Alligator mississippiensis: one gene and its partners. The protein of the gene in region 1 binds, or shares a complex with, the protein of each later gene. Links are inferred from orthologs where the notes say so. Each region holds a gene or a part of one and is shown on either strand. Other genes may lie near its edges.

Region 1 (9,466 bases):
GCTCACCCTCCTGAAGCAGCGTTAGTGTCTGGAAATATGTTTACCATCTTCCTGCCTGCAAATGTCACCTCACTCATACAGCCTATGGATCAGGGAATTATTGAAAGTCTGAAATCCATCTACAGAAGGGATTTTATGAGGAAGCTACTCAACTATGAAGGCACTCTCCAAGAATTTCATTCGCAGTACACCATTAAGGATACAGTTTTCAATGTGGCATGTGCCTGGTCTGCTGTGAAGAGTGCAATTTTAAGAAGGGCTTGGAGAAAACTGTGGGCAGCAGTAATGGTTGCAGAGGGATTTTCTGATGAAAAAGAATTTGAAGGCTTCAATGCAACTCATAAACAAAAATTCACTAAGAGAGATTCTTGATATCCTTCAAAATGCTGAACCCACAAACCCACTCATTAACTTAAAGATACTGGACTTGAAGAGTGGATAAACATTAATCAAGACCTTGATGTTGCACAAACTCTTACTGATGCTGAAATTATAGAAAAAGTTGTGCATCCTGAGAGTTCTACTGCACCTGAACAAGACTCAGAAGAATACCGCAGTGAAGAAACTAAAGTGGCTTGGGCTACTGCTGCACAATGTCTTGAAACATTCTTGAAATTTGCTGAGCAACAGTCTTCTTATTCTGCTCAGGAAGTGATGCAATTTCATGTTGTGCCAACAATTTCCTGAAAAAAAGGCAACTGACTTGCAGGCAAGCAGACATCTGCAAGTTGCTTCAAAGAGTTTCTGCACCTTGTGTTAAGGAACCAGGCATTTCAACACCATCAACATCAACATCAGATATTACTGATGCTGATGATCCTCAAGAAGAGCCACACTCCGAAGCAGAGCCACATTCTGAAGCAACCTCAGATCCAAAGGTGCCTTCAGAAGCAGCTGAGGGGCAGTAAATGTACAGTATACTATTTACTATATTATTCCTTATATCATAGTTAAAAGATTAAAAGTTATTATATCATAGTTAAAATGTAGGCTTAGTTTCTTTCTTGAAAAGTGTTATGCACTTGGAAAATTTGGTGAACCATAAATATAACTCTCAGATAACCGGCATATTTGATTAACCGGTACCCCCAATTCCCCATGGATGCCGGATAACAGAGCTTTTACTATAAATAGACATATTGAGTTAAAACTGGAAACGGCCAGTGTTACATGTATCCGACCTAACTATAAACCTTTTATCACAATTTTAATTGAAGGGTGGGTAAAACAGTTTTCCAATATTGTAGAGGGTGAAAGATTGTCTAGAAATAAATGAGATACTGGGACTATTCTAGGTGGGATAGTTGCTGGCCTCAGTGTTATGAATACAGCAAATACTGAGGTAGTGATGAATAAACTAGCCCAGGCCACAAGGTAATTGAGAGAGATAAAAAGGCCTATTACATCATCCTTGTCCAAAATTGGAAAGCAGGCTGTGTTGAATGCAGAGGTGCTTCCAATATGGCATGAGGTGATTCAATTAGAGCAAAAGCAATTGAGAAATCGCAAAATGATACAGGATTGGCATTATCTTGTACCCAGGCACAGTCTTGGGTGCAGGCCATTATTAGTGGTATAATCTAACAAGGTCAATCCAGCATCAAAACTTAGAGCTAAACCAGTTAGTCTTAAAGGTAGCTACTCTGACCGAAATTCAAAGAGTGGTGAACGTTAACTTCCTTTGGACACCTTCCAAAGAGAAATGCAATAGTAGCAGATATACACACGATTGCTCAAGCCAAAACTAAACTCATTAATCCTCCCATCAACATTGAAAGAAGAATAAATGGATCATTATTCTTTCCTAGGATAGAAGCACAATGGGTAAATTATCAAAACGATAGTTCAGTAGAGCTAACTGATGTAAAACGTTGCCTTGCCCACCAAGGACTAAGATACATTTGTGAAGGCATGCATCAACCAATTAGGGATAATTGCAGAAATTCGGACAATTCTACTTTTACCAAGTGTCATTTTGATATAATTCGAGAAGGAAACTCTACAACTGCCATATATGTACTCAATCAACAGTGTATTTGTATAAGCACTTGGCGTACGGAAGTTATCTAGAATCATTGGAAAAAGGCGGTTGTGTTGTGGCAGAATCAAACTTTTTGTGCATGTCACGTTTCTCGTGTTTCTAGCTGTGATGTTAATGTTTCTATTCCTTATGTATATAATTGGACATTAAGTGTAAATGTTACCGTTTATGATAATATAGAGCCTGTTTGTATTGGAATTAATTTATTGGTATTAAGACAACTGATTTTACATAATGGGATTCAGAAAATATTAGAAAAGAATGTTAAAGAAGCTGAGAATATGTACGTAAAGGTTATCCATAGGAATCTGTACATATCTTAACCAGGTTGTTGACACTGCAAAGCACCAGTGGTGGGAAACGTTGGGGTGGAGCCCAATAGCATCTGGAGTAATAAATCTGGCCCTCCATCCAGTAATTGTGGTGATGATTGGACAATTGCGTTTGGGAATAATGAGTGTGATGACAATGATATGGATGTGCAGGGTGCGAAAGAAGTTAATGTACATATACAGAGTGATCAGGTTGACTTGATCCAAGTGCAGATTTGTTGATGTGTTGAAAGATGAGTTTTTGAGAAAATGGGATGGAAATTAGAGTGATTAATATGTATCAATGGAAAAGATGAATGAGGATGTAAAAAGTGTATATGATAATGTATGAAAAGAGTTAATGGCTTGGTATGATAAGCTGAATGTCTATAGAAGTTGAATTAATGTTGGAGTAATCATTTGTTTAGTAAAAAGTTCCTTGGAAAATGGAACAGAAGAAAGAAGAGATCACTGAGTAGACCCATGTGGAGACCTCTCCCCATTGTTCAATACAAGTGGTCACATCTGGTGTCCCACTTGACAGCATGGCATGGGGTTGCAATAATGATTAGGCATGGCGAATTTGTATGAACCCATGACCCAGCATCTCATGTTGATGTAGTGATACCTCAAACATTGTTACATCTATGTGAGTATCAAGGAGGGGACTGTTGCGGCCAAACTTAGGGTCTGGGCCTACATACAAGGTGACACTATGGTACCACAGCACAGATGGAAAGTGGGTCACCAAGTGAACTGTGAGTGACCTTGCCTCATGAAAGATGATGTAAGACCACTGAAAGAGGTGTCATGTGAAGCTTCTGGGGCCAAGTGCAGAGCCACCTAGGTAACGTGCGCACATAGCCTATAAAGGGGGTGTGTGGGCGGAGCTTAATTGTTTGTCTGAGGGGGGGTGTGGTTTGGTGTGGGACTGAGGTTGCGTATTTTTTGAGGAATACATGTGTGTCTGCAGGTGGATGTATGGCTGTGAGGTTTGGGGTCTGTGTGTGTCTGAGGATGCGTGCATAGTGTGGTCAAGGGAGCGAGATCGATTGAGGCCTGTGTTGGAGATCGACTAGAGTATGAGAGCACGGAGAGAGAGACTGAAGGAGAAGACAGGCACTCTGTGGAGGCTGTGTATACTCCAGAGGCTCGAAGGCCTCCGTGCGGTTGCTCCCCTCTGGATTTGCTTCTACACTAAAGTAAATAGAGTCGGCTCCCCAGACTTTTCCTCCCCGGGTGTATGTGTCTTTGACACAGAGCAGCTCTTTGCTTTATTAGTATTACCTCAATCCCTCTCCTCCTTCTTCTGTCCTTTTATTAGTTAAGCACCCTTGTTAAAAAGGCAGCAAGGTGGGAGGTAAGCCACCACGGACCTGTACTGGAGGATGGATGGCTGGTGACAGATCAGACGGCAGTGGAGATAAATAAAATTACTCTTGCTCCTCTGTAATAAATTCCACTCCTTTCTCCCTGCTATAGTTAACTGAAGTAGTTATTGGCTGTTCATTCATTAGTTGTGGTTAGTATTTAAGAATGTAAACCTGTGATTATCTGTTGATGTTTTTACTTGTTAAATGTTGTTAGTTGCTGTTGTTATTATAAACCGTGTTACTCATTTCAGTGCTAATTGAGTGTGTGTGGTAGTTAACTTAACTTCATCTAATTGCCTGGTAAATTGGGTAGTGATCGATATACCCAGGTTTAGCAGCTAATTGTCTCCGGGCCAAGAAACACCTCCCTTTATGTGAGTGGACAGTATAAGGCACAGCCCATTGAGCAACCTCATTTAATTAGGCACTTAAGTCCTTGCATAACAAAGGAATGCAGAACAGCTGGTCATATTTTAAAGACACTTTACTGGGGGTGCAGAAACGAACCATCCTGACACACAGGAAGATTAGTGAGTATGGCAGAAGACCTTCTTGGCTTAGCAGGGAACTCTTCAGTGAGCCAAAATAAAAAAAGGAAGCTTAGAAGAAGGGGAAACTTAGACAAACAACTAGGGAGGTATACAAGAGCAACCTTCAACTACCTTAACGGTGGTTTGAAAGAGAATGGGGCTAGACCAGATTTGCTGGTGGTCATTTGTATCACTTTAACTTGGTGGAGTACTATCTGTCAGGAGTTTGGGAACCGCTCAGCTAGACTGTTCTCAGTGGTGGTAGATGATAGAACAAGGAGCAACCATCTAAAGTTGCAGCAAGGGAAGTCCACTTAGTTATGCGGAAAAACAGTCTTTGGAGAAGGGCAGCAAAACGCTGGAACAGGCTACCCTGGTGGAGCCTCTACCCCAGGGGCAGGCAAACCTCCCCCCCCACGGGTGCCGAAGTGTGGCACCCAAAGATAGTTTGTTTGGCATGTATGCTTCCTGGGTGGATGGTAGGGAAGAAGCCAGGGCTGTATGGCCATAAGGATCAGGCCCTTTGTGGCTCCCACGTCATCTGCCCCGGCACGCCAACATCGTACAAGTTGAAGTTGTGGGTGTTCTTGACACTGCTCAAAACCGTTGCCGACCCTGCTTTAACCCTGACAGATCATTTTAAGCCCCGGCTAGAGGCAGCCTCGGCTGGAAGGACACAGCTAGAGCTAGCGTGGCTCTGAGCAGCGAGTAGGACTAGATACCCTCCTACAGTCCCTTCCAACTCTCATTTTCTACGGGCCCCAATGAACCGCATGAGCCACGACTAATACCCCGCGCCCACAGCACCACCTACGCCTCAGCGCCTAGCGCACTCGCCTCCCTGCTCCGGCGCGGCGCGTCGGCCTCGTAGCCCCGCCCACCCCCGACGTGGTCACGTGACAACGAGCAACCTGCGCCGCGGACCCTGGGGGGCGGGGGGTGCCGACGTGCGGCGGAAGCGGCCGTGCGTGGGGCGGAAGCGGCTGTTTCGGTGCGTCTGTGCGGGCCTGCGGCGGGGAACGTGGCTGCTGCTACTGCAAGATGTCCATCGAAATTGAGTCCTCGGAGTGAGTGCGCGCGGGGTGGCATGGGCAAGGGGACAGGCGGCGGCGGGCCCGTCTCGCCTCGGGGTGTCCCTGGGGTGGGGGAGTGGGGAGGGCGCCCGGCCCCGGCGGTGCTGAGCGGTGTGGGTGCTGTCCCCGCGCAGCGTGATCCGGCTGATCATGCAGTACCTGAAGGAGAACAGCCTGCACCGGGCACTGGCCACCCTGCAGGAGGAAACCACCGTGTCGCTCAACACCGTGGACAGCATCGAGAGCTTCGTGGCGGACATCAACAGCGGGCACTGGGACACGGTGCTGCAGGCCATCCAGTCCCTCAAGCTGCCCGACAAAACCCTCATTGACCTCTATGAGCAGGTGAGCCCCCCTGGCCCAGTCCCCTCTGACAGCCCAGTGGGAGCAGCATGATGAGCTCCCCACACCCGCCAAGAGGGCTTAAGCACCTGCCCCCCAGGGCTGGTGGCAGAAGCAGTGTTTCCTGCAAAGGACTCAGTTGCACTTCTTATTGTCTGAACTCTCCCCTGACCTCATGATGGCTGCCTGTGCTTCTGATGTCACTGTTGAGATCAGGAGCCACAAGCCAAGTTCAAGCACTGGCCATGTTTAACACGATTAAACAGTCCTGGAGAGCTAGTGTGGAAAATCGTACCCCTGAAGGGAGTTACAGTTCCACTCGAAATAAAAGTAGCAGCAGGTATCTCCAGAGCAGGGGCGTTGTGCTGCAGAGATTTTCTTGGTGCAGTTTTGTCAGTTGGGTTACAATGTTTGTGTAGTTCCCAACAAACCTCCAACAACTCTGCAACCTTCCCCTCCTCCTCCACATGTGGAGTCATAGCTATAACTAGTATTCTTCTTCCAACTCACTGCACTGACATGACAGCAATCATCTTTCCCCCCAAACACACAACATGGTGATGTACTCCCAGTAGCTTTCTATTGTTCTCTCTGTACTAGGGGTTGGCAACCTATGGGCTTGATCCAAGGAGCCTTTTGGCCCAGCCTGCAGACATGGGGCTTCAGCAGCTGTATTGACCCGTGGTTTTGGTCAGAGGTGGGTGGGTGCATGTTGGGCAGTGGCAGCACAGGAAAAGCACCTACCAAGTCCAGTTTTCCCTGCAGCAGCATGGGAAGAGTGTCAGCAGCTGCTGCTTTTACCTGTAGCAGAAAAGGGCTTTCCCTGCTACCACAGGGTTGAACATTGACTGTAAACACTCTCCATGTGCCGCCGTGGGAAAAACAGACCTTGGTAGGCACTTTCCTGGTGCCACTGCTGGGAAAAGTGATGACAGCAGCTGGTTCCTAATACCTGTCTTCTGCTCACCCACCCAAGGCTGACCTGATTTGAGTCAATCTGGCCCACAATCTGAAAAGGTCAGTCTGGCCCACTGTCCAACTCTGCCCTATATATTTCCCATTGTGATGCATCCCCAGACAGACAAAGCGGATACCAGCAAAAGGATTCTTTTGCATTTATAAACTAATGTGTTGTATCATTGGAATTAGGCCATATGAGTCTTTACAATGTAAACTAGTATATGAGCTAAATAATACATTCTTAGACTAATATGTGAAGAATGGCTTAGTTTGGAGTAGAAAATGTTATTGTGTAGTTTAACTGCAATCATTGGAATGGTGTTTCTTTATCTTCTGGATGCTAAAAGTGACTGTTTCCATCCTTTCAGGTTGTCCTTGAATTGATAGAGCTTCGTGAGCTGGGTGCTGCTAGATCCCTGCTGAGGCAAACTGACCCTATGATCATGTTAAAACAAACTCAGCCAGAGAGATATATTCACCTTGAAAACCTTCTGGCTAGGTCCTACTTTGATCCCCGCGAGGTATAGTTTTATTGATAAAAATACATCGTTATTGGGTTTTTTGTATACGTTAATTTATAGCTAGCATTTTTATGTAACATACCAACCAGTGAACGTTATATTCTTGTATTTGGAATGTTTTTTGTTGAGTTTTTTCCTGAATAAGTCATTCCTGAACCTAGACGTCTTTAACTGTAGTTTTAGAATTGTTCTTACTCTATTATGCTTCACTTTTGTTTCTTCAACTTTTTATAAAGCATTTAACAAATAAACTATATTTTTAATATTGTTTCATAACTGAGAGGAAATGTGGTCTTATAGTGAAAGTCCTAGGCTGGCATTTGAGTGACCTGGATTCAGCCAGTCCTCATCTCTGCCACAGGTTTTCTGTGCAACGTTGGCCAATTTATTTAACCTCCATGCCTGTAAAACTGCAGTGCTTTATAATTAAAGTTTTAGACTGCATATGTTAAGTTTACATTAAATCCCTTTATTCAGTTGTGGCCTCAGAATGATTTTTATCTGGGTTTCTTTCTTTGGTTTATCCCTGACCCCTCAAACTCTTGTGGTATGTTTTGGCCAAAATGCTAATGTGTAATATGCTATTAGTTAAAATATGTATGTCTGTGTATACATATACATACATACATCTCTGTCTTTCTCTTGAGATAGATAGATAGATAGATCTCTAGAGAGAGAGAGAGCTATAGCTATATATCTTCGAGGAAAGATTCTTTCATGTGTAATTCCTTTTTTAGGCATATCCAGATGGAAGCAGTAAAGAGAAACGAAGAGCTGCTATTGCTCAAGCTTTGGCTGGAGAAGTCAGTGTTGTACCTCCTTCTCGCCTTATGGCATTGCTGGGGCAGGTAACGCTTGAAAAAGATATTTTTACTTGCTATGCTAATTTTTCTAGATCTTTGTTATCTGAGAGTCTCAGTGGGATAAACCATTCCTGAACTTTGTTGCAGTAGAATCTCACTAATATCATATTTGCATGTGAATTACCATCTCTTGTCATCAAGGATTTCATCATAGTAAGGTGTAGGGTTGTGAAAGGTAAATTAGTTAACAGTAAGTATATTTATAGCAGTAATGCATTACAGTTACAGTTTAGCGCCAGATGCAGTCCAGTGGGGAAGGGAAGTGGTGTGATGCCCGAGGAAAGTGGCCAGGAAGGTACTGCCTCCACCTCCCTATACGTGTGCAAGCATATGATTGGGAGTGGGGACTAGTACACATTAAAGATAGTGTGAGCAGTCACAAAGAAGCCGTGCCTGTCTGTCAGCATGTGGCTCTGCCTGCCTTTCCCTGTGCAAGTGGATGCTGGGGATGAAGGGAGAGGGCTTCATGTGGGCTGTGGGGCTTGCTGTTGCCACCTTGTTCCCTCCCCCTGTGCTTCTGTAGCCAGTCCTGGGAAGCTGTACAACACAGCACCATACTGCACAACAAACCTACAAATGATTGCTTGTAAAAGAATCAAATGGTTGAACACAGTGTGTCCTTTTAGTTCAGAGATGTTTACAGGTTTTTAGGAAAATTTTTCTGTTTGAAAGAATTGTGAACAAAACCTCTTACAAGGATATGTCATTGCTTGAGCACATATGTTTCTAATTATATTTCCTTTTCCCTTCTTAAAAGGCACTGAAGTGGCAACAGCACCAGGGATTGCTTCCTCCAGGTATGACAATTGATTTATTCAGAGGTAAAGCAGCCGTGAAAGATGTAGAAGAGGAAAAGTTCCCCACACAGTTGAGCAGACATATTAAGGTAAAATGTTACATTTTTCCCAAGTGCTTGATATTACCTTAGATCAAGACTTCAGTTTTAACACACTATTTTCCAGGTCTTGCAACTGTTGAATATTGTTTCTCTGTAGAGTTTTCCATGCCTAATTTTGGCTATGAGGGGATTTTTGGAAGTTTGAAGAAAAAAACCTATAACAACGGGCCAGTACAGGGGTTCCCAACCTTTTTATGCTGCAAACCGGCAGCGACCAGCATATTACAGGCGGTCAGCCAACCTTTTTTTTTATACTTGGTATAAAAAAGTGTTGGCTGCCAGTTTGCAGTGTGCTGGTCACTTCCGTACTGGCAGCCAACCCTCCTGCGAGCCAGCAGCCAATCCTCCGCAGTCTAGTACCAGGCCACGGCCCCTGGGTCTGACGGTTATATAGGGGAGTAGGAATATGACTTAAATTTCAGGTGTTTTTATATTTTGGAACTCAAAACCAACTGGATTTTGAAAATTGTGGTGTTTTGCTTGCTTAGAGCCTGTTTTAACTTTTTGTGCCTTTGCATTAGTAAGTTTTATGGATCATCAGAGCTTTAATATTA
Region 2 (10,065 bases), on another chromosome or scaffold:
TGCCACTGCCTGCTCCAAGTGCAGCCTGGCCCAGCCCTGGCCCTAGCCCACAGCGGCAGTCTGCCCTGCCCCACCCTGAGCAGATCTGGGGGCACACGCCTCCCCCCCCACTCCCCCGTGCCCTCCTGGGGTGCGCACAGCCATGGAAGCTGTAGCCCCTCCCCACGCCCGCTGGACAAGCCACAGCTCCATCCTGTGCTCTGCCTCATCCCAGCTGGGCTGTGCCTGCCCCACCCCTTCTCTCACCATGGGGGACCTTGATCTGCGCCCCTCCCCTTCTACCACAACAGACTTACAAGCTGGATGCAGCTCTCTAAGCTGCCAGGCTGTGCTCCTCACCACCTACATGCTGTGCTGTGGCTGCATGCATGCACAGGGCATTTATCGGCTAATTTCCAGTACAGTCAATTTTCTTTATATCATTGCAATCCAATATCGGACTGATGCATCAGTGCACCTCTAATAGAAAGCCCTATTGCTGTATTATCTGTGCTTACCTTCTGCAGCAACGCAAAATCCAGACCTTTCACCAAGTGAGTGTGCTCCATGTCACCACCCAAGAACTTGGACTCCTGGATCAACTGTCTTCTCTTCTCTGCAGCTGATTTATCCCTATGCAATAAAAAGGGAGCACATTGTGTATGACCAACTCTAGGCTACACCTTGATGGGCAATGAATGGACACAAGCTCACTTACGCTTCTGCAGTGGGTCCCACTGCCCTGTAGTTGGCAGTTGTACTAATCAGTTCAGTTTCTTCATAGTCTTTGTTAACACCATCTCTTCTCTCCTTTGCTCGATCCCTGTATTTCTCAGCCAACTCCCTCTCTCGTTCAATCTCTTGTTGACGCAGCTTTGCATAATAGCTAGGGTGGGAAAAGGGTTAGGTCGTTGAGCTATTGGGTTATACTTGCGAGATGCTGGCTAATGTTGCCAACAGCCATTCATACAGCACTGCATGTCACCCCCCATCGTTTATTCAAATCTTCAGCCAGGCTTTTAGCTTCTTGCAACTCTTTTTCCATTATTCCCCCAAGGTCACAGATCTCCAAGCTCCAATAAGCATGGAATACTGCTCTCTGCCTTTGGCCACAGCACCCCATCCTCAAACACTTGTACTGTGCTCCTCTTGTTACCCCAACACCATTCAGAAAACAAACAAACAAAAATAAACAAACAAAACATGTTTATAAAACCTTGCTCAAACTGCTGCAGTCTCCCCTAGACAAGGTCTCCCTCCACTCCTCTGCTTTTCAGGGACTGGCCTTGATTGTCCCTTTTCATATTTGCTTTGTTATAAGTGCAAAAGCTGTCTCAGCAGCTTCTGTTATCCAGGACAGCCTTCCTGCATCAGACTGCTCCATTCAGGTCATCACTTCTCAGTGGAAAACAAAGACCATCTTTCTTGCCTAACTCTCTTTGTATACTTACTCCTAATGTATTTAGGTACACAGCTAGTGTGGAAGGCGACAGATATCTAGTTAGATACTGTAGAAAAACTGTAACTGAAGAACCCACTCTACACTGCCCCATGTACACATGCCACAGTAGAGACATCTGCAGTACTTGAAGTGAAATGCTGAACAGGCAAGATATCCTATTTGCTTCCTAATTACCATCAAAGAGGGGAGCTACCTCAGGTGCTCCCTCTTTTCTAGTATCCTTCTTGGGACAATCTACGCAATCTCTGATACCATCCTACTGCACTCCTCAATTCCTATGATGGGGGTTGTGAAAGGTTACAACCACTATCAAAAATACTTCTAATACAAGTGGTCCTTTTCCTTCATTCCACAACCCACTGATATTCCAGACCAGTAAGGGTCACTTTCTGATGCACTGCTTGGGAAGTGGATAGCTGATGGGCGCAGGGGGGTCCTGAGACATTGCTTTCCCAATTTACCTTTTCTTCTTTCTTCTGCGAGCAGCTGGATCTTCATCTTCATTGTACTCCCGGGGCATCCTGGAGAGGCAAAAACATACATACACATCACAAACTGCAGAGGTGCACAAGACAGGAGCAGGAGGAACTAAAGGCAACAAGCCACACAGGGAACTCAGAGCTAGCACCAACATACCCAGAAACCAAATACATTCAGAATAGGGCCTTTAGACTTTCTGCCCAGGTGTATATCTAGTTTAACTGAACTAACAGGGAGGCAGAAACAGAATCCGAAAATCTTTAAAATGAGAACTGGAACTGAATGTATAAGTTGTCCAAGACCAATGAGCTCATATTGGGTCAAAGAGCAAAGTAAAGGGGTACACAAATCTACTTACTCATGGTGACGAGATTTGGAGGGTGGTGCAGATGTTGGCGCAGCCCGCGGGGTCATGAGAAGCTTTCGAAAGTCTTCATTGGTCAGCTTGGACCTAGAAGAAATGTAGCTTGTTGCAGTAGTGACAACATACTATTTTTTCCAACATCATAACTCTTTTTCCTTGATGAATTTTACCTTCCCTGAACCTGAAAACAGGACAATAATTAACTGAAGCATCTCAATCTGAATACTGCGTTCCCAGTAGATTATGGCACAGCTGCCTGCACTGGATTACACACGTAATCAAGTTCAAATTGGAAATACGACAAAAGTTTTTAACAGAGGACTACCAACCACTGAAAAAGAGCCTACGGATGAGGTTGGTACTCCGTTCCTTTGTTGTCCTTAGACCAAAATTGGATCCTAAACATACACTGCAATTCAGCTAACAGGTATTAGGTGTGATAATCACTGGCACTCTTTGGCCTATGCTATACAGCAAGTCAGAGTAAAGGTTCATAAAGGTCTCCCCTTTTGATCTTGAAATCTATTACCTGTTGCTAATTTTTTTTTCTGTAGCAATAAAACTCTCAAAATCCTACCTTTCCACAGGACAAATTATTCTAAACTTTCCCTCCAAAGAGAAAGACACCAAAACTCATATACTCACTGGTTGAAGGTGTGGGAGTCATCCACATCATGGCCATCTGGGGCCAGAGGGTTGGAGAACGGCTCATCTAGGAGAAAGAAACACAGAACTGAGCCTTTCAACCTGAACACCGTGCTCCCAAGCCCACTCCTACGCCTACTGGGGAAGTTTGTAAACACCAAACTAGAGAGCGATAACATAGGAATTCAGTCAACAGCAAACAGAGAATAGCAACACTTTTTGTTGGCCAAAGTAAACAAGTATGTGCTGCTCCATGTACATGTGGCAGCTAGTCCCTACACAGAACGTACAGAACTGGTACTCGTTTTACTCCAGATAGTCACTAGCCAACAGCAACCTGCACTGACCCCATGTTCTTGCAGCTTCAAGTCCATATGAAAATGCTCAGGAATAATTTGCAGTCGTTTTCAGAAAACAAGCTGCTTTTAGGGTGAACAGCGCAGCAGCAGAGCAGCAGATCAGGCGGGAGAGGGGGTCGGGCTGCTCTGTGGTGCAGCTGCCAAGGTGGGTCCCCAGGGGGAGCACGCACACACAGACAGACAGACAGACAGACAGACACACACACACGTCACGGCCCCCGGTACGCGTAGGGCAGGTTAGTGGCAAACCCAGAGCCGCCGCCGCCACTGGCCCGGAGCCCCGCGCACCCTAGGCGCAGGCCGCTGCCGGAGTCGGGGCCGCCGCGCTGCGGCTAAGCTCCCAGCCGGGGGCCCGCAGCGCCTCGGCCGCGGGGACGGGGACGTGCCCGCGCCACCGCTGACACTCACTGTCCCGCTCCGGCATCTCGGCCCGCGCGGCTGCGACAACACAACACCTGAGAGCTGGGGTCACCTCTTCCCACCATGCACCGCGCCCACCACTACCCACAATGCAGCGCTCTAGGGCATCCTGGGTAGCTGTTTTCGGATTGGCTAAGGAGGTTCCCAAAGCGCGGCTCGATTGGCTGGAGCCCCTGTGACACGGCGCGTCTTCCAGACTTGCGGGGTACGGGATTGGTTGGTGGTGTGCTGCGAAGATGGCAGCTGCAGCCGCAGCGGTTCGGGGCATCGGGGGCAGCCTGGGCCGGAGCCTCAAGGAGATTCGGATCCACCTGTGCCAGCGCTCGCCAGGCAGCCAGGGCACCAGGTGAGGGCCCCGGCCCGCCGTGACGCCCCTGGGCACGGACTCCTCCCGGAACGGCCCTTCCTTGTTCCTGCGTCGCGGCCCCGCCGTGCTCGGCGCTGCACCCCGAGGCGGAGGAGCGGCCCTGCTCCGGCCAGAGGCGCGGGGGCGGGCAGCGGGAGACCACCAGGGGCCGCGTGAAAGAGCCCCGCGGGGAAGGGGGTTGTGCTTGAGCCGCTGCTGGAAATGGTTTCTCTTGGACCCTGCTGGATGTGCTTCCTTCCTGGGGTGGTCACTGTACGCTTCCCTCACTGCCCTTCAGGGTGCCCTGGTGTCCGTTTTGCTGGCAGCTTCTCCAGCTCCTGCTTCCCCCAGCACATAGTCAAGGCTGGGCCCCTAGATATTGCTGTGTGAGGTCAGGCCAGTGTTCATTTGACTCTAATATTTATTCTCTGACAGCAGTGCATATGGGAGAGCCAGGCTGGGCAGGTGGGCTTATGCAGAAAAAGATGTAAGAACTCTAAAGTGACGAGTATGGAGAAACCTACTTATGAGGTAGTTTCTTCTGAACTCCCTTTGGGACAAGTGATAGTGAGAGCCTGGTGTGTAGTATGGTCCCAGGGACTAGACACACTCACTTGAATTCTCTTCTAGGGAGCTTATGGGGTTTCTTTCCCTGGAACTAGCTGAGAGTGAGCCAGAGTACATTTTATAATTGAAAAGCCCCCATAATACTTACTTGTGCTGCAGTTTCGTTTGATTGGATGTTACGGGAGTGACTGTTTGGACAGTGTGTGTCTTCAGCACAGCCCTTCTGAATTATAGGGTAATCTAATGTAAATAGATATCTCTCATTTGACACTAGCCTTGTTTGTCCTGATGTTTGACCTGGATCAAAACGGGTGTGGTGCAATCATTTACATGATGCCCTTTCAGGCTGTGTTGCTGCTGCTGCTGCTCTGCCAGAGAGGAATGTACAGCCTAGCTGGCTTGTCCTGGGTGGGCAAAAAAGCAGAGTAACCTTACAGGTGCATGCAGCCATGTCCTGGGGAAAAAGTGTTGGCACACTTTATCCTGCATAGTTCAGAGAGATTGGATCCTGGGGTGGGGGGAAGGCTTTTTCCTGGGACAAAAGCATAATTACTGTACAACTGCACAAATTGTCTGTCATCCTAACATCTATTCCCAGCCCTTAGATTCTGAATGTGTTGACTCTTGCTTTGCTTTGTTAGGCTTGCCATTAAAGTGGGCATCGTTTCTAGCGACACTAATTCAGCTAATGGGTTTGAGCATTAAGAATGACTGGGCTTTCTATTGTTTCATTTTTTAATGCCTAAAGCCTATAAACTTGTAAGTTTCCTATAAGCTATAACAAAATGGTATGTTAACAGAGAGTTAGCAAAAGTGATAAGGCTTGGTATGAATTAGCTGAGAGACCGGTCTATATGCTGTGGCCTGGTCTCAGTGTCCTGTAATGTTCCATGATGGTGGTCAGTGATGTATGAGACCCTCCTGGGCAGTGTGACTTGAAGCAGTGGAGTGAGATAACAGTTGTTTTGAGCCTGCTCCCTTTGACAGCTTCCCCCAGCAGGAGGAAGACTAATAAAAAATATTCCTCTGCACTTCTCTCTTGCAGCTAGACTCCCTCTGTGCATGCCAGAGGAACTTCCTGTACTGTGATAGGTGACACTTGTCTCTGCCTGAGGTGAAAGGACGATATTGATGTTATGACACTTGTCTGTCTGAACACAAAGGAGATAAGAGATCCCTTGTAACCTTTTGCATTTATTTTGCTACCCTCCAAAACCTTGCACAGCCCTGATGCTACCAGATGAGCACTTTGATATAGGTGAGAGGGAGCAGAGCTGAGGAACATATTTTCATTACTGTAACTTCTATGGGGAATAGGACAGCCTCTCCCTCTGAACGCTTCAGAGTTTGCTTTAGAAGGACTGAGTGCATGTGGAGCTTTTGAGGCCTTAAGAATTAAATATATTTTAAATCTCTCTCGCAGTAGCTATGGTTGGCAATGATATTGGGATTTAATTTGTTCTCTTTTTGCAGAGACTTCATTGAACAGCATTATGTGACTCTGAAGAAAGCAAATCCAGATTTCCCCATCCTAATCCGGGAATGCTCAGAGGTGAAGCCTAAACTCTGGGCTCGATATGGTGAGTTGGGAGCCTGCAGCACCCTATCAGTATCATGGCCCTTTTGTTTTGAAGGTTAGCCTCTTGGTTCATGTACTACCTTCAGAAAAAGCTCACACGAGCAATTGTGGCACTATACACTTGGTGTCTGTATTAAACCACAAACTCATCAAGTGGATTGCTTTTAATACAGAGAAGGGTGACAATATACATTGCACACAAGGGAATGGATTCAGGATGAGGCTGTGGGGCCTACTCAGTTTGAGAAATAAGAAAGCAAGACAGCAAATCAAAACAAGAGCCTGATTTATAAAAGGACGAGAGATTAAGGAGTTAAAGTATGTTGCAGCTGCGATAGTTTAGGAATTATGTGGTTGGATGATCACCTGTCTAGGGTCTTGTGAACCCAGCATTCGTTCCTGCCTGTGGCAGGGGGTCAGGCTAGATGATCTGTTCAGGTCCTTCCTGACCCTAGCTACTATGAAATGATGTGAAGCAAGGATTTGGCGGGGGGGGGGAAATATGTTTATTCCAACCAGGCAGTGGGTCCAGTTCAATTTAGACAAGCTTTCAAATTCAAGACATTCTTCATGAGATCGTTAAGGAGTTAAGACATTTAAATTTACCATGATGGTGATAAGTCCAAATAGTTCTGAATGCTAGCATTAGTGTGCAGTGTGCTTAAGTCTTTGATTGAAGTTAATTTTTCCCTTTGAATATTTCTGTCTGATATGGGTGTCTACTAAGCTGAGATTCCTGTAACAGATGCATGTGTCTTGTTTTGTTATGTTCTGTACTATTTTCTTTTGTTCTCTTTAGTCTTACTTTGTACTGTGTTCTGCTGGGTTTTTTCACTTTTTTTTTTTTCTTCTACTACTTATTCTTTGCTGAAAAAATCCTTAAACATCCTTAGAATTAGCATATGGAACAAATTATGGAGGCAAGTAGTGCAGCAAGAACCAAGCAGGAGAGTTACAATACAACCAGCAGGGGGCACACCAGAAAATCTTTCAGACAGCTTTTCCTCAAGCACTTCTCAGGATTTTGAGATGAATGAAATAAGACATGGCTGTTTTGCCCCTGGCAGAGCAGTGCCTCTGACAGACTAGGAGCCTTGCTCATGGAGCTAGCAAGTGAGGCTATCTTTCTGAATAGTCTCTTTCAAGGGACAAACAGTACAGAACGCAGGTAAGCAAAACAATAGGACAGAACTATGTGAACACTGAGGAGGAGGAAGACCATTTACAGCTAGGAAGTGGAGAGGCCAAAACTTGAGAAAAGGAAGGGGAAAAGCTTTATGACATGCCATATTTGTGAGACCAACTAATACACTCCAGATCTGCAATAGAGAATAAACTGTACACTGAGGCTAGGGAGGGAAAAGAATGAACTGGTTCTTCTGGATGTTGCTAATTCTCTCTTTTTCCCCCCAGAGTTTGGCAGGGAAAAGTGCGTGCCCCTGAACAACCTGAATGTGGACCAAGTTGCCCAGGCCCTGGAGAACATTGTTAAAAGCAAGGCATGAATACAAAGAATTAAGCCTGCATGTGCTGGAGCCTTTGCTCAAACGGGCTAACAAAGAACATGTTCTATCTGTCATTGTAACTTATTCACTGCATATAAAGCATATTGTAAGATGCATGCTTTTAATAGAGATGCTGTGCTGGAAGGTATCTTGTAATCTGTGCCCCTTACTAGAGGGACTAAGTCTGTGGTGATTCAGTGATGACCTGTTTGAGGAAGGAGACCTTTTCCTCCTGGTCAACTGAGACTATTCTGGTCCTTGCCTGAGCAGAACAGCTTCCTGTAGTGGCAGGCAGGAGGTACTTAAGGATAAGGGGAAAGCTTCTCATTAATACTAAGCTATCCTCTAGTAGTGAGTGTGCTAGGCTGGGTAATCTCAAATTTGAATACAATGAACCTTGCCAATAATGCTTAGTTATGATACCCTTCACCTAGGTACCACTTACTGATCTCCCAGCTAGTTGTCTGTAAGATCACTCAAGTTTTCAGATTGATACTTTATCAGAAAATAGCCAGTGCACTTGGCTCATAATATGAAAGTAGGACATAATAAAATGGTTTATTAAACTCCAAAATATTTATCAATATACAAAACTGGTGGGGTGATTAATAGGAAAAGTAACTAGTGTGGAGGCAGTATCCTCTAGGGGAGAGAAGATGGTACAGCAGCTGAAGAAACCAAGGAACAGGGTGAGGCTGCAGCTGGCTGGGTAGCCAAGTTCATGAGCGCTCTTACTCGTTCCTGAAGCTCTGGGTGGTGCTGATGCTGTTCTAGGGCCTGCAGTCCTGCTTGGGTGAAAAAGTCAGCAGCAGCCTGTTCCAGAAGAGGACAGTAAATTAAGAGCTAGCCCAGACTGGGAGCTGTCCCAAAGGCTTCTGTGTAGCCTATGTGAACTGTACTGCCTTGGATCTTGAATAAAACTCAACTCATCCTACCAGCTCTTGGGAATGAGGTTTAAGGGTTAGTTGAATTTATAATATGCCCGCTACAACAATATCCAGGTGCAATGCTCAGATTAGACAAGGTAGTTTAACTGTCTCATATTGCTGTGGTAAACCCATGGAACTTGAACTTTCCTGGTTCTGGGTGGTGGCAAAAGAACAGAAGTTTCCCTGGACTGTATTTTCAGTACAGGTGAGCTTAAGTCAGCAGGTGTCACCAGCACCTTGCCCTACGACATTCTTTGCTTCATTGTTCTGTGTTTGGTGAAGTTAAACACATTAAAGCTTTTTAAACAACACATTTGTTTGGACAACACAAGGAAAGACAACCAAGCTGTACCTCTGGCCAATGCAGGAAGAGGAGATGCAGCAGCTCAAGGCACTGGCCTGCCACTTCAGCATCAGAGAGGGTGAGGATACTGATCAGCGAAGAAAGCACAGCCTTCTGGTGTAGCTGTTGGCAGTAGGCGCAGCCCTTCTCAGCTATGTTGCACAACACTGTTAAAACCTACAAAGAGATGACATAAGTATGCTAAGCTGCACCACTCCACAACTGCCACCCAGGTGACACTGAAGTAACTATGGCTGGTTATGCTGGCTGTAAACAACCATCTGTAACAAGGCTGTCCAATTAGCAGGCTGCTAGGAGTAGTGTGCAACCCACAAACAGTTAGCATGTGACCTGCAGGCACTGACAGCCACTACTCCCATTCCTGTGCAGCAGGAGAAGGCCCAGAGTACATACATGTGTTGCCAGCACAACCTGTGAAGTGGAGGGCAAGGGGGCTGTGTGCTGCGGGTGCAGCAGGGGTGGGGGGGAATCTGCATGCCACTGGCACAGCCCAAAGAGCAGAGGGGCTTATATTGCTGGCACAGCCTGCACAGCAGGAGGGGATCCTGGAGGGATTACCCCTGCAACATGCAGCTTGTGTGGTGTGTGTCCCTTAGCTGCAAAGTTGAGCTATAACATTCTTGTACTTCAAACTACATTTCCTACACTTCTATCTGCCAAAGACTGGTGCAGGCTGGGCAACATGGCTCCTATCAACAAAGAGGGAGAAGCAGGAAATAGTCTCAGGCACTGTCCAATTTCCCTGTCCCCCATACTCCCTGACTGTCTGGATTCAACAGAGGGAAATTGCATCACCATTTGTGGGCATGTTTACAGCATATTCCTCTAGAGTTGTCTGCATGGCACTTGGGCAGGCAGCCCAAGGGAAGACTTGAGCAGGAGATAGTTCTGATACAGTAAATCTGGTGTCTGCTTACCACGGATGCCTGTTATTGATGTCTGTTGTTTCCCTGTGTCCTCCCTCCCTAACCATGCTGCAGCTCTAGAACCTTTTAGAGATTATTAGAAACCATTTCATGCAGACTGCTCTTGAATTTGCTCCTTCCCCAGCAGTGCACTAGAAGCA
Region 3 (10,042 bases), on another chromosome or scaffold:
GGCCTCAGCTCCAAGTTCTCTCACTCAGCCTGTTACATAACTGGTTTATGGGGGAGTTAAAAAAAAAGCCTAGAAAAATTTGAAAAAACACCCTAGTACATACTATCTGGAATCAAGGCTCTAGAAGGACCACAAAGACTGCAAATTTTCTAAGTACTGTCAGGAAAACCAACACAGTCCAGCCAAACTTCTCTCTCTATACAAGGCCAATGCCCAATGCTTTAAAAAAAAAATCTCCTTCCCAAAACAAACAAACAAAAAAACAACCCAAAAGCCAAATAATGTATTCACAGGGAGGAAAAAAAAAGTCCTCTTGGCTTCTACAAGGAATCAGGAGAAACTGACACAATGGATAACCACATACTTCCCACTGAGATAAGCTTCCAATAGAAAATTAAGAAATTTCTAATGGTAGCCACTGGAATGGGTGTAAACCAACAATAACCTGACATACACCTCCAACCAGGCTTAACTGTTTAACATTGTAACAATAAAACAAGGGTTTCATTAACATGTCCTTTTACTGCCTGACATTTTAACATAACATACCCAGACATAAATGGAGCTCTCTTCCTCCCTTCTCTCCCCTGCACTTCATTGAAGGATTAGGAACCCAGATTCACACACAGCCCCTCATTCCTAGATTACTGTAGCAAAGACTGGCTCAAACACCCTGCTCCTCCAGCCATGGCTACTCACACACTGGTAGAACTCCCTGTAGCGGCCCCTCGTCATGACTGGGTTATCCCTCCTGTAAACTTTAGCAATGTGGTAGCGTTTAATGTTGGTGATTTTGTTCATGGCCAAATAACGAGCAAAGGGCACCTGAGAACAAAGGGTTAAGGATGGAAACTGGAGAGCATCTCCCAAGGCCTGCAGCCACCCAGACTTATCGCTTTGTAGGCAACCACCAAGCCAATACAACACAACTTTACAGCAAGTCTCAGGCTAATGTAAAGTACTGCAAAATATTCTTCCGGGCAGGGAAATCAGGGCTTGTGTGACCACTTTCCAATTAATCTCACTAACAATAATGCTGAGAAAACACAGCTCCTCTGCTGGGTCTTTGTGGCTTTTGATGATTTAGTTCCGATACAAACTAGATTAAATAGATAATTGGATGGAATATACTAAGGGTAGACACCTCATGGAATAAAAATACCTTGTTGTGCAATTTGAACAGAGATGGAGAATCAGAGACAGAGGTCCTACATGGAGGACCTATTTAGTACCAGTAAGAAAGACAATGGCTCTTCTAAGAATAGGAAGTTGAATGGAGGGAAAGGAAGGAAGCTAGGGTCAGATGAGTGCAGGGAAGGGGGTCAAGAGAGTAGGAAGAGACAAGGAACAATGTTTATAGGGAATGCTGGAGCAAGCATACAGCTTCTATGAAAAAAAGTGAATTTTGGCTTAGATCTTGAATCAACTGGGGAGCTGCTTTTGAGGCATAGAGTATTCTAAGCACCACTTCTCTCACCCCATTCTCATTAAAATATTAGGCAACTGTGGTGTCGATGCCTACAGTCATATGGGTTGCAAATTGGTTGGAGGGCTGCACCCACAGAGTGGTGGTGGACAGGTCATTTTCGACCTGGAGCGATGTGGCCAGTGGGGTTCCCCAGGGCTCAGTCCTCGAGCCCGCACTGTTCAACATTTTCATCAGCGACTTGGACGAGGGGGTGAAAAACGGATGACACTAAGATGTGGGGAGAAGTGGGCAGGCTAGAGGAGAGGGACAGGCTGCAACTAGATCTCGACAGGTTACAGGGGTGCATGGATGAGAACAGGATGGGTTTCAATACTGACAAGTACAAGGTATTGCACGTGGGGAGGAAGAACCAGCAGCATACCTACAGGCTGGAAAACTCCCTTCTTGTCAGCACAGAGGCAGAAAAGGATCTTGGAGTCATTACTGATTCCAAGATGAATATGGGCCACCAATGTGAGGATGCGGTCAGGAAGGCTGACTGCACCTTGTCATGCATCCACAGATTCATCACGAGCAGATCCAAGGAGGTGATCCTCCTTCTCTATGCGATACTTGTCAGGCCACAGTTGGGAGTACTGTGTCCAGTTCTGGGCAATGCACTTCAGGAGAGATGTGGCCAGCATTGAGAGGGTCCAGAGGAGGGCCACTTGCGTGATCAGGGGGCAGCAAGGCAGGCCCTACGAGGGGAGGCTACGGGACCTGAACCTGTTCAGCCTCCACAAGAGGAGGCTGAGGGGGGATCTGGTGGCAGTGTATAAACTGGCCAAGGGGGACCAGCAGGCAACGGGAGAGTCCCTGTTCCCCCGAGCACTACTGGGAGTAACAAGGAATAATGCCCATAAGTTGACCGAGAGTAGATTCAGGCTAGATATCAGGAGGCACTACTTCACAGTCAGGGCAGCTAGGATCTGGAACCAACTTCCAAGGGAAGTGGTGTTCGCTCCTACCCTGGGGGTCTTCTAAAGGAGGCTAGATAATCACCTAGCCGGGGTCATTTGACCCCAGCACTCTTTCCTGCCCATGTCAGGGGGGTCGGACTTGATGTTCTGCTCAGGTCCCTTCGGACTCTACCAACTATGAAACTTCCCTGCAGATGATTTTGAATAGTGCTACCCCAAAAGGTTTTTAGTAAATGTAAGCTAATTGCTCACAGAATGTGGATGTTAGTGAAAACAAGGAATGGATAAAGGGACGATGCATATTTTAAACATAATTGATGCATATAAATAGACTTAAAATGCATATGAACATAATTAGTTGACATGTAGTATAAGTAATGAGAATAAAAAAAGAGTCAAAAAAGTTTTTTATTAAATGGTATTGTTAAAAAAAAGATATTTGTGATCAGATCTTGTATTTGAAGTGCATTCCAGCACCATGCCAGAGTACACTTTTACTATTGTTTGAGCCATCTGAGTAACCGTGTTTCACTAAAGTGAAACTTTGCTTTCATGACTTATTGTTCTTTGATTTTACAGTAACCATATAGCAGCTTTTAGTGCAAGTTAGAAAATGCTTATTAGACAAATCTCATTGTTTTTTAAGGATTAGTGCTGTTTTTTAAAACTAAGGATTGGCAACCTATGGCTTGTGAAGTGTGATGCAGAGGTCCAATCCAGTACAGTGGATTGGTCTCTCAGAGCTGTGCTGCGCTGCCTCTCGACTTTGCAGTACTCCCCTCAGCTGCAGAACTTGCTGCTCTACAACATTTGAGCTTACTTTGCTGCAGAGGGGCAGAGACTGGGCAATGCTTGTAAGCACTGTCTTGCCCTAGTAAAAGCCTGACAACCCCTGGTCATAAGTCTTTCAGTATCTAAAAAATAAAACTTTTCCTCTGAGCCAAGTCTGGCCAGACACAGTATGATAATTAGGTGTTTATACTTCCATTAAGAATACAAGGAAAATTATGGAGTGGGGCAATAGTGGGGATTGTGCACTTGCCAGAGTGTTAAAGGCTGGGGGCTTGAACTAGTCAGAGACAGGAACTGCAGGAGCACAGATGAAAGGAGACGGTCAGGACAAGGACAAGGTGTGACTGTATACAAAGGTGAAGATGACAAATGCAAGCTCCTTTCTAACTTGCAAAGCAGTATGTAATCATCCTCCTGCCCCGTTTTCCACCCTCCACCAGTGCCTAAAACACCTGCAACTCCCCCCCTGAAATGGTTCTCTCTCACAGTAGAGACTCTGGCAGGATACAGTGAGGTCATAGCGAAGGGAAAGCAGCTCACCCCCCTGATCTTTCAGATCATAAATGAGCTTCGAGTCCTCTCCATACTTCCCAGTCAGAGTTTCCTAGAGAAAAAAAGACAATTGTCTGGTAAGAGAGCCAAGGCCCAGGAGCAGAATCCAGCAGCAAGCTGTTCCCAGAAGCAGAGAATCCCTTGAGCCTGACTTTCCGAGGTCAGATCCAAGCCCTCTCCAGTTTTACTATAGAATGAGTTTTCTTTCCTTGGGCACTACTTATAACTGAGGCATTAGTCAAGGCACCTGTCCCTAAAGTTACAATTAATTCAGCTGCTACCCCTTAATGCACCAAAAATTAAATGGAAACAAAACTACAGAGCCAAGGATCCCACCTAACTTGCATCAGTGATTCACAGTCAAATCCTCCCAGATGTTAACTTGCCATCCCTGCACTCACTGTCAGCTCAAACACAGGGGTGTCAATGACCTCAGCCCCATGACGCTTGAAACAGTTGATGATGGTGCTGAAGACTTTCTCCCGGATGGCCATCTGCTTTGGGCTGAAGTCCTGGGTGCCCTGAGAACCAAACCCAACAAGAAATGGGTGAAGAAGTGTTAAGAAATTGAAGTATCCTAATGTCATAGATTAGCCAACATCCATGCAGCTGCCAGCTGTGGTGGCTATTCAAAACAGTAACAAAAAGTTCATGACAAGGAACAACTAGGCCTTAAAATTGATGATTCTTTGGTGTAAGAGTCAACCACAAAGAAGGAACAGAATGAGAGAAGAGCTTTAAGGCTGAGACACTGGAGCTGAGGATACCCTGCAAGAAACCGCACAATGTAGGTCTAAAAAGGGAAGATCTCTTCCAATGGTGGAAGCACCAATCCAAGTGCAATCAAAGGAAATGAGATAGGATTATTAGGAAAGGAGGCAACTTGGGACAGACCCAGCCCTGTGAAGGAGACAAGCCATTACCTTGGGGGTTTTAAGAATGAAGTTCTTTTTCCCTTCTTCAGTTTCCAGCTGTGCCTTTGTCTGCAGGAGCTTTCCCACAGTTTCTACTATCTGGGAACAGAGACAAGGCTGGTGATAAAAAAGAGCCTGATTCTGACCTACAAGAGCCAGCTGTCACAGCATGGAGAGATGGTAAGATGACAACTCAGCTGGCAGACTGTAGTAAGTTTCCTTACTATTAGAAGCTCCACTGAAATTCAGGTCCTGGCTTTATTAGGTTCTCTCACATGTAGGGTCTTAAATACTATTAAGGCTCCAACATAGTCCTTGCAGCTCAGCTCAGCATAGCACACAAGAATCAGGGAGCAGTTACTATATAACAATTCCATAATAAGGGAGTGTCTTTACTTTGTCTTTTTTGATAGACTAGAAAGTCCCTAAACCAGACCTAGCATTTTCTAACTAGCCAAAATAAATGCCATTAGCATTGTTTGGATTATTGGTGCCCAACCTTTTGGCCCTGTGAGCTGGATGAGCAGTGTGGGGCCAGTCCACAGACAGGGAGGGGAAGGGGATGGATCCAGCCACTAGGTCAAGCCCTACACATCTGGCGCCAGCCTTGAACACAGGCGCTATATAGCACACAGGGGTATTCCATCCAGCTTGCGGACCTCCCCCTGGTCCCGAAATTTGGCAGGAGGGAAGCAACCAGTAACTGTGTCACCACTTCCCTGCCGCCAAATTTCCAGACCTGTGGGGGCCCCGCGGGGCGGATGATACAGGCCTGACGGTGGATGTAGCTCGAGGCCCTGCGCTGTGCTGAAAGCTACCCAGGATTGACGATCCCTGCTCTCGGCCGACATCGCCCTTCAATTGGCAGACCCTCAGCACTCACCCGGTCCCGGGGACGAGCGGAGAAGGCGCGCAGGGCGCGAGGCGGCCCCCAGGCCCGCGCAGCCGCACGGCGGAGCCCGCTCATAGCTCCGCTCGGCCGGGCCCGCGCCGCTCACAGGGGGCTCGGGCCGGGCGGGGCCGCTCACAGCCTGCGGGGACACGAGGCGGCGCGCGGAGCATCACCTCCCGGCCCGGCCCGGCCCGGCCCAGGCTCCCGGGCACCACCGCCTCGCGCCCCTAGCGCAAGCCGCCTCCTCAGCTACACTGGAAACCCAGTCCTGGGCTTGGAGCAGCCACTTCCGCCACCGTCACTTCCGTCACGGAAGCCGACGCCGCGCGTGGCCGGGCTACTCGCCGGCCCTGGAGGACTTCCGCCTCCTTGTTCCCTCGCGGTGGAGATGGCGTCGGGCAGCGGGGTAGGCGGCGCGGGGCGGGCGGGGGCGTCCCGGCTCCTTCTCTCGGGAGGGAAACGCCGCCGCCCCGAGGAGCTGCCTCCGGCCCCGGAAAGGAGTGGGGCGGGCGTCCTGCGCGCATCGCCCGCGCGGTCCGGCCCGGCTCCGGCCGCGCTTTGCTGCTGCTGCCTGCCCGGGAGTGCGGCACAGCCGTGCGCCCCCCCGGAGCCGTGTTCCCGCCTTGCTTTGTCCTCAGTGGCGCCCCGCGCTGTCCCCCGCCCCCGCCCGCGGTTCGCTGCGAGGCGTCGTTTAGGCGTTAGGGCTGCACCTGGGTTTCTCCCGTCCTGTCCCGCGCAGCCGCCGGGCGAGGTCGGCTCCTGCAGGCCTCCGCTGTTGGGATAGGTGCCCCCAGTGGTGCCTGACCTTTCTGCCTCCGTGTCCCAGATCCGGTTGGTGGGTCCAATCTGATCATGCCACTCGGGACTTGGAAATCTGTGGGTGGGGGAAGCAGGAGCAGCTTAATTGCCACTGCTCCCTGCTGTCACATCTCCCAGCCCACCAGGCTGGATTTGGCCCAGAGGCCAAGGGAGAGCACCCTGAATTATACTCTCCACTGATTCTGGATGGCCCGTGGCTGGCGGCTGCCATGGCAGGGTGCAGACTGGGTCGGGATCTGCCTAGGAAATCGGCGGTAACCAGAGAGCCCCAGCAGTGTGGGCACCCTGAGGGAATTGTGCTAAATAGTCCAGTTCCAAAGTGTCCCTCCAGCACACTGGTTTAACACTTGCACAGGAGGGCTTGGCTGGTAAAGATAAATCAGGCATGTTGCTGTCTTGATCATAGGTGTAGAAAAAGGTATCCCCAGTGCATGCAGTAGGTAGGTAGAGTGGGGAAGGGACTCTACTATATTCTGTGAAAGAGCTGTAGGTCAGTGGTTGAAGAGCCACTTGTGGCTCAGGAGCTATGGTCTGATTCTTTCTGCTCTAATGGCTTCTTTACAGCCTAACAAGTTCTGCAGAAGGTTTTCCAATGCTCTTATAACTGCTTTGAAATTCCTTGAAACTGCTTTTATGTAACTTAAGACGTGTGAATTTCTGCTTTGTTTTTCTCTATTAAAACTGTAGTTGTCCCAGAGCTCTTGCTAATGGATCATATTCTGACATTTATCCATGTTGACATGGAAGGCCTATATGTTGCAATACATTTCCAGTACAACATGTTTAAATTGTTCTGTCTGTGTGTATAGAGTTCATCAGTTATCAGCCATTACTGTGAGCCAAAGGCTTTAGAATTATAGTTGATATGTTCACGTTCAATAGTGTGGTGGTGAGGGAGAAAACTAAGAAGAGAGAGAGACAAATCTGAGGTTACTTTTACCTTCCTTCAGTTAGACCCTACAGAAAAATACTTATGGAGAATCAAAATTCTTCTTATATGAGGAGTTTTGAAACATTCTGCTACCTTCTGCTGTAAACCTAGGGAAACTTGCTCCTGAGTCACAAGTAGGAAAGGAGGGACATCTTCACAGAAAATGTACTGGCAGGAGGAAAAATATATATTCAAGTGGGATGCAAGACCTTATATCTGTCAGAAAGATTTGGTGACCTCATCCCCAAACCCACCAAGAGACAAACATTAATGTCCCCAACTTTCTGTGGCCCTTTCTGACTCCTCTCTTCCCTTCCTCTAAACAAAACTTCATACAGAGGTAAGATGGGGAATTTCTCTACAAATTCCAAAGAAATTCTCTGACTCAGAACTAGATGGGGGTTGAGACATATCTCTATTAGGAGCTGCTTGAGGAACATTGCTGTTGTCTCCCCTTGTTCCTGAGCTGCAAGAGGAGTGACTGTGTACAGATGACTCTGGTACTATTGTTATACTGTATGGAGATCTTGAGTGCCCATTGCTCATCTGCTTCTGAGTTAAGAAACCTCATTCCCCTTGATCGTATTCTTTTTGGCTTGCTACTGCCACTAGACTTAGCCCAGGATGCTGTGTAAGCTGCCAAATCCATCCTGTGTCATTGTGAGACTATTCTGCCTGAAAAACCTTTCAGAATGTAGTGTTGAAGTCGAATGAAGAGAGCATGGGATTTAGAAGGGTAAGGCTTCTGGCATTTGTTATAACTGCTTGCCAATTCTAGACCACGTTAACAATCTATAGTAGTACCAAAAAGCCAGCTGTCAGCACCACAGGGACTTGTATATATGTTGTTTCTGCTTTGGCAAATATTTCCATTGTTTGGAGTCAGAGCATGAAAAGTGAGCAGAAAAAAGAATGTTTGAGTGGTTGTGTGGTCTGTCAGCACAGGAGGCCAAATTGGGGCACTGACTTTTGTTCCTGGCTGTAGGGTGTCATGTCCATTTGTCAGAGCAGAAGCCTTGACTTGGGACTCCTGAGTTCTGTTCTGAGCATTGTAGTTGTGTTGCTACATGACATTGAACAAGTCTCTTCAGTTTGTGCCCTGCAATGATTATGAGGCTTTTGTGTACTCCTTTTAGTTCCTATCTGATGTCCTCTATTGGGAGAATATTATTTGTAACCCCTGAGCAGTTATTAGATAAAGATTTAGGGGTTTCCAGCAACCCCTGTCCCCTTTTTGATCAATCTGAAAAAGTTATTTTAGAATTGCTAGCGATGGCCTTTTAACAGCTAGATCAGAAGTTGGGTTTGATTTATTTCACTGTGTTTGGCCTAGGGACACTGGTAAAAGATCTTCAAAAGACAGTATCCTTTTTATTATAAAAAGAGAGTGAGGCAGCAAGTAAATTGCCTTCTCTCCAGGCTCCAACCAACTTTGATTTGTGATAATACTGTTTCTATGTAGGAGAATATAGAGTCTGGAAAATACCCCAAAACATTAATTTACACTTTGTGAATCTCCTTTTCTTCTTGCTTGGGGAAGCTAATAAGAAAATTCTTTGTTATAACATGCTTAAAATGCTTTAGAAGCTCTGGGAATAAATGGTAAGTTTGCTACCTGTCTCCCAGGCATTCTTATTCTCATCAGTAGCTATTCTTTATGTTGGAAGGATTGCCAGGAGGTGGAGATTTTGAATGATTGCACTGCTGCTGTAGTCTTAAATGAAGTTTTTTATTTTCTTTGGAGCTTGACTGGATTCTTGGTTTGATTAACCAAGGGGGGAGGATACATTTTACTCCAGCACATGCTATCTATCCCCTTTCCCCCCAGACATGAGCAAAGAGATTTCCACAGGAAGACTTTCCTTTTTATCAATTTTCAAAAATTAAAAACATGAAGAGGATTTTAAATATTGATACTTCTGTTACTGTTAAATAAAATTAAGAGAAGTCTGTTTTATTCTAACCACTCATATATATATTTAAATGTCTTTAAAGTGGGTTTCTGTGCAAAAAGTCTGCACCAGAAATGTTTCCTTTTTTCTTGCTGCTTTTTCTTTCTGAAAGTCAGGAAAGGAGAGTTAGTCGTGGACTAGCTGACTGTGAATCTTGTGCAATTGGTCATCTGAGATCTCAATGTCTTGGCTTTACAATAAGAGGGACATGAAAATATCTGACTAGAGAAAATGGAGGGTTTTTTTTAAAGTTTATTTTGTGTACGTCTTGCCTAGTGTATAGAGGTTTTATCAGTATTAGGTTGGATACTTGGATCTAATAACTGACTTGTTGCTTTGTTTCTTTTATTTCCTAGCCATGCCTATAAAAGCTCTTTAATCCTTCATGCACAGTTTGTGTCTGTGCATGTATGTACATCTCTACACATTAAGACTCTCAAGAGTTTATTGTTGCCTTATCTGGCTTCCTAACGGTCTCTTTTGGATTCACATTTAACTGGCTTAATCAAGAAAACTTAAAATTTTCACTTTGTGCTTGGAAACCCTGTTTCCAAACAGACAAAAGTAATCCGTGTATTTGTGCCTGTTTGAAAGACAGGGATGAGTATTTTGTGAAACTTGGAAAATTTAATTTGGTATTTGGTTCAGTCCTTGCAGAACCTCTTGACAGGTTTTTTACGCCTGCATAGCAGTATCTTTCTGTGCTAGAGCCCCTGTTTCTGGCTGTGGGTAGGTGGGGGTCACTGGAATTGAGTGATCTTTATTTGTCAGTGTGGCCCAGCACACCAAATCATTCAAGCTC

The links.
Region 2: SMU1 (region 1) and IK share a complex: the UniProt entries of both Homo sapiens proteins name them as parts of the spliceosome B complex. The link is inferred for Alligator mississippiensis from reciprocal best matches to the Homo sapiens genes SMU1 and IK.
Region 3: SMU1 (region 1) and ZMAT2 share a complex: the UniProt entries of both Homo sapiens proteins name them as parts of the spliceosome B complex. The link is inferred for Alligator mississippiensis from reciprocal best matches to the Homo sapiens genes SMU1 and ZMAT2.

What each region holds. Positions count from the first base shown.
Region 1 is NC_081826.1:152,718,440-152,727,905, forward strand, and holds the start of SMU1 (WD40 repeat-containing protein SMU1), read left to right. Parts: upstream 1-5,211; 5' UTR 5,212-5,296; coding exon 5,297-5,322; intron 5,323-5,462; coding exon 5,463-5,673; intron 5,674-6,998; coding exon 6,999-7,151; intron 7,152-7,888; coding exon 7,889-7,999; intron 8,000-8,771; coding exon 8,772-8,900; intron 8,901-9,466. UniProt on the Homo sapiens protein: Involved in pre-mRNA splicing as a component of the spliceosome. Regulates alternative splicing of the HSPG2 pre-mRNA. Required for normal accumulation of IK.
Region 2 is NC_081832.1:42,570,558-42,580,622, forward strand, and holds the start of IK (protein Red), read right to left. Parts: upstream 3,806-10,065; 5' UTR 3,714-3,805; coding exon 3,698-3,713; intron 2,998-3,697; coding exon 2,931-2,997; intron 2,373-2,930; coding exon 2,280-2,372; intron 1,963-2,279; coding exon 1,903-1,962; intron 866-1,902; coding exon 698-865; intron 613-697; coding exon 498-612; intron 1-497. Other genes in the region: NDUFA2 (NADH dehydrogenase [ubiquinone] 1 alpha subcomplex subunit 2), read left to right, coding at 3,946-4,055, 6,096-6,202, 7,615-7,706; TMCO6 (transmembrane and coiled-coil domain-containing protein 6), read right to left, coding at 8,349-8,519, 8,988-9,155. UniProt on the Homo sapiens protein: Involved in pre-mRNA splicing as a component of the spliceosome. Auxiliary spliceosomal protein that regulates selection of alternative splice sites in a small set of target pre-mRNA species. Required for normal mitotic cell cycle progression.
Region 3 is NC_081832.1:42,418,623-42,428,664, reverse strand, and holds the start of ZMAT2 (zinc finger matrin-type protein 2), read left to right. Parts: upstream 1-5,841; 5' UTR 5,842-5,926; coding exon 5,927-5,944; intron 5,945-10,042. Other genes in the region: histidine--tRNA ligase, cytoplasmic, read right to left, coding at 700-825, 3,689-3,784, 4,134-4,253, 4,656-4,745, 5,530-5,613. UniProt on the Homo sapiens protein: Involved in pre-mRNA splicing as a component of the spliceosome.